Linked DNA regions of Neurospora crassa OR74A. The protein of the gene in region 1 purifies or fractionates together with the protein of each later gene. This does not show direct contact. Links are inferred from orthologs where the notes say so. Each region holds a gene or a part of one and is shown on either strand. Other genes may lie near its edges.

The links.
Region 2: the proteins of NCU01695 (region 1) and NCU04009 purify together in Saccharomyces cerevisiae (affinity purification with western blotting; 3 studies listed by BioGRID, with this or other methods). This does not show direct contact. The link is inferred for Neurospora crassa OR74A from reciprocal best matches to the Saccharomyces cerevisiae genes NRD1 and RRP4.

What each region holds. Positions count from the first base shown.
Region 1 is NC_026502.1:2,700,356-2,704,291, forward strand, and holds the start of NCU01695 (RNA binding protein Nrd1), read right to left. Parts: upstream 2,801-3,936; 5' UTR 1,838-2,800; coding exon 1,709-1,837; intron 1,633-1,708; coding exon 1,387-1,632; intron 1,174-1,386; coding exon 1,071-1,173; intron 980-1,070; coding exon 1-979. UniProt on the Saccharomyces cerevisiae protein: Plays a role in sequence-specific regulation of nuclear pre-mRNA abundance.
Region 2 is NC_026506.1:2,432,413-2,436,144, forward strand, and holds NCU04009 (exosome complex exonuclease Rrp4), read right to left. Parts: upstream 2,250-3,732; 5' UTR 1,967-2,249; coding exon 803-1,966; 3' UTR 501-802; downstream 1-500. Other genes in the region: NCU04008 (mitochondrial ATPase), read left to right, coding at 1-495; NCU04010 (malonyl CoA-acyl carrier protein transacylase), read left to right, coding at 3,380-3,569, 3,640-3,732. UniProt on the Saccharomyces cerevisiae protein: Non-catalytic component of the RNA exosome complex which has 3'->5' exoribonuclease activity and participates in a multitude of cellular RNA processing and degradation events.

The DNA.
Region 1 (3,936 bases):
TTCTCGGAGGGCGGCTCCTGACCCGGGCTCTCATGTCTACGGTTGGGGGGCGACCGTTGTCGGTACTCGGGAATACGCATATCCCGGTCTCTACCACGATCATCCGGATGGCCACGGGGCGGGGTGCTCCGCCCATAATCAAAGCGATCGTTACCGCGGGCTCGAGGCGACCCCCTGACATCCCAGCGCCGCGGCGAGCGTGAGCGAGAGCGACCCCGAGGCCTATTTGGAGACCTCATCCCATCATGATAGCCATTACGATCACGTGATTCATCATGTCTCACGGCCTCCCATGCAGGGGCAGCAGATACACCGCCAGCAGGGGGAGGAGGAGGATAGCCGGCATATAGAGGCTGAGCAACGGACTGGGGAGGTGCTGCCGGGGCGGTGCCACTTGGTTGACCCATCAGCTGCATTACACTGGCAATCTTGTCAAGAGGGATGCCCTGGGCGGCGAGGGCGGCGAACAGCTGAACCGTCGTAGCGGTATTCGCACTAGGGGCTGCTCCTGGCACTTGCACAGGCTGAGCTAGCTGTGCGGCCGGAGCTGGGAAGCCAAATGGCATCGTCGGTGGCATGTTCACCGACTGCCCCGCCGGCTGCGATGCTGATAAGTACGGCATACCCGGGTGCCCCACACCGGGAAGAAATCCGGCTGGCAATGCTCCATTGCTAGGCTGGCCAGAAGTAGCAAACATGGGATGCGGCGTGGAAGAAGTAACAGGAGGAATCTGCGGGACCCCCATTTGTACCGGAGAAGGGGCCACAGCCGCAGTTGCGGCCGGGGCGGGAGCAGGGGCGGCCGCGCTGGAATTACTCTGAGCCGCATTCGCATTCAAGCGGGCAAGATTTGCTAAGGTCTCCAGGATGTTGGACGGCATTACGGCGGTAGTTGTAGGCGTAGGGAGAGGTCTGCTAGTGGCCTGCAAGGAAGCCAGCGGGTTGGGAGGGGGACTGCCTGGTGGTGTTGTCGAGACATCTATCGGCACACGCTACAGTTAGATCAGGCAAACAACGAGCACCGCACACGCGTAAGGGAATATGCTTAGGAGGATCCGGGCAAAACCTACTGTGCTGTTGATGAGCATTCAGCTTCTCCTTGAAGGTGTTGACCATATCGGGAGGAAACGTCTGGCCCTTTTCCCATATGTCGACCAGCTTCTTGATCTTCTCCTACAAGACGATACGGGTGTGAGTTTATGAACAACATGATACTGGACACTAAATACAACCAAAAATGGATGCACGATATGGTCTAGGAAAGTGAAGACGACTGGTGTGGCCTGATCTTACAGCCGCTCCCAAGTGTGCTCGGGGTCTAGTCCGTTTGGCAGAAATGGAGGTATAAGTGTAAGACGGCACATGAGTGTGCGGTTGTGTGCGTACCTTTTGATCCTCGGGGGCCGAAGAGATGATGGCGTTCATGAACATGGGCATTAGTTCAGTCACTCTATGGACACCGGCAGCATAGGTGCCATCCTGTGCACCAAGGGTGACGGGTTGTTCAAGGGCCTTTGCCTTCTCCAACCATTTGCGGGTTACAGAATCTACGACGTATAGGACGCCCAGCTTGTGAGTGTTTGGTGTCTTCTTGTAGTGGGTATATAACTTCTGAACCAGCTGTGATTCGTACTGTCGAAGGATGTGTGGTTAGCTCTGGTGCCTCCATCGTGCATACTGTCGAGCCCAGACACGGCGCTTTTCTTACCTGGACGTTGTTCAAACACAGCATGGTGAGGCTATTGATTTTCGAGCCAGAGACACCGGGCGGTTTCAGGTTTTGCATGTCCCCGAGGCCCTTCTCTAGTTCAGCTACGGCCGCCTGTGACGACAACATGATGGATGATTTTTGTTTGAAAATCGAGCAAGACCAGCTGAAGTCGGCAATCAACTTGGCCGTTGGGCTTGGAAATACAAGCTGCGATGTAGTACGGTTGTGATACGGTGAAGGCTGATTAAAGGTTTTATGCCAATACCATGCTCCTTTGTCACGGGTGGAAAGACGGAGTACGTTGATTAAGGCTCAAACAGGTCGGCATCCAAGGTCTGCTTTCCTTGCTTCTCGACGTATATCACCGAGGTTACGAAGCTGCAATTTGCCCGCGCCACCGGGTACTCAGAAGAGAGCAGCTTGTACGAAGAGACTGTCCTTTCTGTGCGTCTTAAGACAAGCGCAGAAGCCGTAGGCCAGTGCAAAGTCCTAGCAAAAAAAAGAGAAGCCGAGAGGCCAGAGATATATGTTGCTGGCCGGCGTGTGTGCGAGCAAGAATACGGTGGTCCTTTTTATTTTTCTGACGTGACGCGCGAAGTGGAAACCACCAACTGGGGATAGCTGTGACGACGTGCAAGAACCGCAACGAAAGCAGCTGTACGAAGGGCAGACAAGATCAGGACTTGACCTGCGCGGATGTGATCTGGGCGCACCCTTTTACTGTGAGGCTACTAGAAAGTGAGAAAATCCAGGTGAGCGTGTGCTGAGTCGAGATGCATGGACAAATCCTGGGCGACTAGTCGATTACTGGATTGCTGGATTGACGAAGGCGGTCTCCGTTGGCGTTTAAGATTATTTTCGCTGATGACGACAAAAGCGTGATGTGGTGGTGATGCGAGAAGTGAGGAGGGAGTTGGGGTTGGAAAGCGGGGAGAAAGAAAAGTTGTCGTTGCAGAAGTAGAAGAAGTGGACTGGACGGGGGAGTGCCAGTGGTCGGTGGTTGGTGCAGGTATGGGTGGGTACTCGGCTGTAGTGGCTGCCCTGATCTTGACTCTGCTCGAGTCGTCTGTCGGGTTCGATTGCATCCGTTCGTCGCTTCGGTTTGCCTGCCCTGCTGCCTGTGTGCTGTGCTGCTGTGGCACCGTGGCTGTGATGCGTGGCCCGAGGGGAGGAACGAACTGGCAGGCACTTTTTCGAGCCACCCAATCACGCCTTGATTGGTTCGAATGACCCGCCTCGAACTGTTGTGACTGAAGGCTCGGAAAACCTTCTTTTTACAAGCAAACGAAAGCCTTGCAGAGAGGTGTCGGACGTGTTGTGGCCTGACGCACGTACCAAGAGCATGAGGCACTAAGGCAACAAAGCCGAGACGGATTGCGGTAAATTAGGAACCCCAACCGTTGATCCACATCCAACCTGAGATTGGATGAAGCCCTTACTGGAGTCGGTTGCGTGCTCCATCCGACTCTCCATGCAACCCCGAAGGTTCCACGAACATTGATGATGAGCGTTGAGTGTCGAGGACGTGCTAGGGAACAGATTGTGCAGGCGGGTTCATCTATTATCAATCCGTCCATCAATTGGCAATTCCAACATTGTTTTCTGGAAACCCGGAGCAGGAACGTTTCCACACCTGTCAAAAGGGGCGGCTTCCCCGGATGAGTTAGGGATCTCGCAAGGGCCAAGTACATACCTAGGTAGTCCCAAAGGCCCAAAGGGTGCCGTGACGTCAATGCATGCCGGTGTCGACATCGATGCGAGTGAACAAGCAGTTTTGACATCGCGATGTTGAGGTCTGGTCTGACAACCGCTGTCCCTCGAGACACATGCGATTGCAGAGACGCGCACATGATGTCGGTGCCGCAAGTGTTCAGCGTGGTCGTGTCCAGGTATTCTTCCGGTCTTCCGTCGTCGGCCATCCTTTTACCGCGCGCATGGACGGGAGGAGACTTGGGAACCGAAACACACGTGTGGGAGCCGCCCCGCGTTCGATCCTTAGAACGGCGTCAGCGACCCCCTGACCCGCTCGAGCTCGGCAGCTCGGCCAAGCTACCTCCACGTACATCCGGATAGAAACATTGAACCTTTGGCCCGCAGAGTTCCATGTTCAGCTTCATGATCCAAATTGACCACATTCAGGGCCGGATATTGTATCCATCAAAAAACGGAGATTTGGCGCCGGCCTCTACGGTGATTACGGTGTGGGCTTCTCCAGTCTCATACTC
Region 2 (3,732 bases), on another chromosome or scaffold:
AATGGAACCGAGCAGGTAGCAGCAGCAGTAGTAGAAGGCGACGCAACCTACTCCGAAACCATTGCTGAAGTGTTCCAAGACTCCATCGCCCCTTTTCGTCCAAACATTTCCGAGTATGACCCGGACCAGGATTCGGATTTCGGTAAGGAGCAGCAAGTGTCGCTGACGCGCAAGGTGGACTTCAACCAGACCGTCTCGGCGTTCACGGGCCAGGACGAGCGGTTTGCGTACAAAAGAGCGACGAGCCGGTTGTGGGAGCTGTGCAGCAGGCAGTGGCATGCTAGGACCGATGAGGGTTGGTGGCAGCCGCTGCCCAAGGAGGCGAGGCATTGGGAGGGCAAGGAGGTTAGCAAGCCGTTGGAATCACCGTTGGTGAGGTTGAATGCGGGGCCGAAGGAGAAAACGGAGATTGTGATGGGGGAGTCGACGGTACTGGAGGAACCGGTGGGGTTGGAGAGGTTTAGGGTTAGGGAGATGAAGGAGGGGAAGAGGTGATGGGGGTGACGGTTGGATGTTGGTTTTCATGTAGATGCTCTGAAGATGATTACATGTACTCTTACGAGTGGTCTATGCAGACTTGTAAGCTATTATGTGATATACTTCCCCGGATACCGCCATATTTTGTGATCAAAGTGGCTTTGAGGCTTCACAAGCCACCACCAGCGTCGTGTTTTGCATAAATGGAAGCTCTTCAACGGCTCAAAGCTGATTGGCGACCCCATCAAATAGGGAAGCATTTTGTTTCTTCTTGGGTTCCCGAATGCATTACTACACGAGCCCCTAGACCCAGCTAGAACTAGACCTAGACAGCCGTCAAAGCAGCAGCAAGCTGCTCTCCTCTCTCACCACCCAAATACACATCCTCGGGCCCATCCGCGCTCACCAACGCCAGCTCCACGGCCTCATTATACCCCTTTGTAACCATATCCTCATCCACCCGCAATCCATTCTCCACCAGCGCCGTTACCACGCCCCTAATCCTCGCAATTTCCCTCATTGTCTCGGGCTCGATCCTGTCATTCTGGCTCGAATACATGGTAGCACTAACCACCTCTTCGAGGTTCGTAATGCCCGTCTGGCCCTTCGCCTCCTCGGGAACCACAGGCTCCACATGCTTTGAGATCCAGACATAGCCATTGACGCCCAAAATCACATCAATCGGACCGCCATTATTCGCACTCTCCAGCGTCCACACCTGTCTGCGCGATCTGACCACGCCTCCACCGCCGCCCGTGCCAGAAACAGCCATGAACACCCCGTTCCTCAGCTTGCCGTACTTGAGCGAGCGCGTGTGCAGCACCGCACCACCATCTTGGAAGAGCTGCTGCACCTCGGCCACCACCAGATCCCCCTCGGCAAAGAAAGTGCGGATCTGCAACTCGTCCGTCTCCGTTCTTTTGCGGAGAATGCCACCAGGAAGGTTGATGGCGGAAAGAGGCAAAGCAGCGAGCTGCGTGGACCCGACGTCGACCCGCCACCGTTTTGCCTGAACTTCGACGATGCGGCCGACTACCAAGTCGCCGACCTCGGGCGTGTAGCGGGCGCGCAGAGGGCGGACGGAAAGAAGCTTGTTGGTGCGCGTCACGATGCCGGCCAGCGAGGAGGTGATGGCTTGTTCACCCAAAGAGGCCGAGGAGAGGTAGGTGCCGTGGCCGCGCATCCATTGGGGGTCCGTGGTGATGCGCTCGCCGGGGGTGACGATGGCGGAGCGCGGGATGGAGTTGATGGCAGCGTTGGTCTTGGGGCGCTTGGTGAAGGTAGAGGAGGCGGCTGCGCCGGCGCCGGAGCGATGACGCTTACGAGGGTGGATGGTCGCGCCGCCGTCGAGAGAGACGCCGCCCGGTTGGGAGTCGGAGTCTTCAGAGTCGGAGGTGGCGTCGGACATTACGTCGTCGGAGTCATGGTTGAGGCTGTGGCGGGGTGGTTGGTCCCGGAAGGCTTTAGGTGGGAGGATTGTGATGGGCATGTTGTGTGGTTGTGGATGGTGTGAAATGGCGATCTCAACGTTGAGTGTTTGTTGGTGTGATGAAGGTCCGAATGAATCCTTCCTTCCTGGTTCCGTTGTCGACCTTCTCGAATCTCAAGTTCTACTATGTGACTATCCTGACCTGCAGAAGTTTGTTGTTTGTGTCGATTCGTCTTGTGGCCTCAAAGGATGTTGTATGGGCCTTCCAGTTGCTTAGTTCCCTTTGGAGTTGATGAGTTGACGTTCAAATGTTTGCGTATTGGAAATTCTGATATTGAAATCGATACGGTATTGACGATTGAACTTTACACGGTTGGTGGGGCCTTTGTTGTGCCTGTCGTCGTGCACGGGCACAAAATAGAGGCACATGCAGTGCAGGTACACCACGCAAAGTACGTAGGTACTCAGGTACTGTGTAGGTGCTGGGCAGGTACTTACCTCCTCCCGTCCGCGTCCTTGAGGTTTTTATCTAGCAACTACACTACCTTATGTAACTACAATGAGTGGATCTGGGACCTTTTCCTCCTCAAACCTACTTCTACTGCAAATTGAAAGCCAACAGTATTGTAGCCGCACCAGTGGCAGCCCAGGCGACGTCGCACGTCAGGTCCTTCGGTAGGTAGGTACACTACTGCTGCAGCAATGACGGGTGTCATCGTTGAATAGGTGTGAAGTGCCTGCCCCAGTGACAACGATTGGAGGTGCCATGGATCCAGATTGCGACGTTCGGAACTACCCCACCCACCTTCTCCACAAAGCCGAGACCCCGGGACAACGGGCCACCCGGGCGCTGGCTGGCGTGATCCACTCCCGGCCGCGGTTGTCGATTTCCAGGGCGGTTTGTTGAGTGAGAGCGAGATTTCCATTGATGACCGACTCGACCGCCCTCGTAAGCCCCTACCTACCGCGATTCAGTGTCCGTACCTGCTTACACAGCACTCTCGAGCTTCCACTTCTTGCAGGATACACCCGTCCCTACTTGCCCGGGAGGCCCTTACTGTTGCTACCGTTGAAAGCCGATCATCCCGTGTTCTTCCACCAGTTGCTGGCATCCCTTTGAACGGCCATTAGTAGTCCCGTCCGTCCTGCTCTTTGATTTGCTCCCATTGTTTACTTGCTGCGGGTTCACGCCGTCAAACATACCTGACTTGTTTGAATTCGAGATTCACGTCATCTACCACGACGTCGGATTCCACCAGACTACGACATAACCGTGTGCTACTCGGATTGGCGCCGATCGGATATCGACTACATATCGGGAACCATAGCGGTGGATCATCCCAAGACTGTCAGTGAAACCAGACCAAGATTCCGAAACCGATTCACTACACTACGCGGTAGATCGGACGGACCGAACGGACGGACGGCCTGGGACGGGCACCAATCGAGGTTTCCAGGTCCATATACACCGATATGCCTTTGCGAGGGCCCCTTCGTCGGCCTGCGCTTGCGCTTCCTCCTTTCACATGCAACAATGTCACCACAAAAATACCCCTCAGGATATCACCATTACCGCGCTCGGTAGCGGTACGGCAGCGTAGAGGACATGCGACACATCTCCCGGTACCAGACACGCGGCCAAAGACGGCCATCTTCTTTCCAGGTTCGTAGTAGTAGTAGTGCGCTGTCCTGCTTTGAACAGAGAACGATGCTGACAGCCATGAGATATACAGGCCAAGGCGTCCAAAGAGTCGGCATGCTCACGCCCTGGCTAGAAGCCTTTCCCTCGACAACTTCCGAAATCATCGACGAAATTGACTCGATAG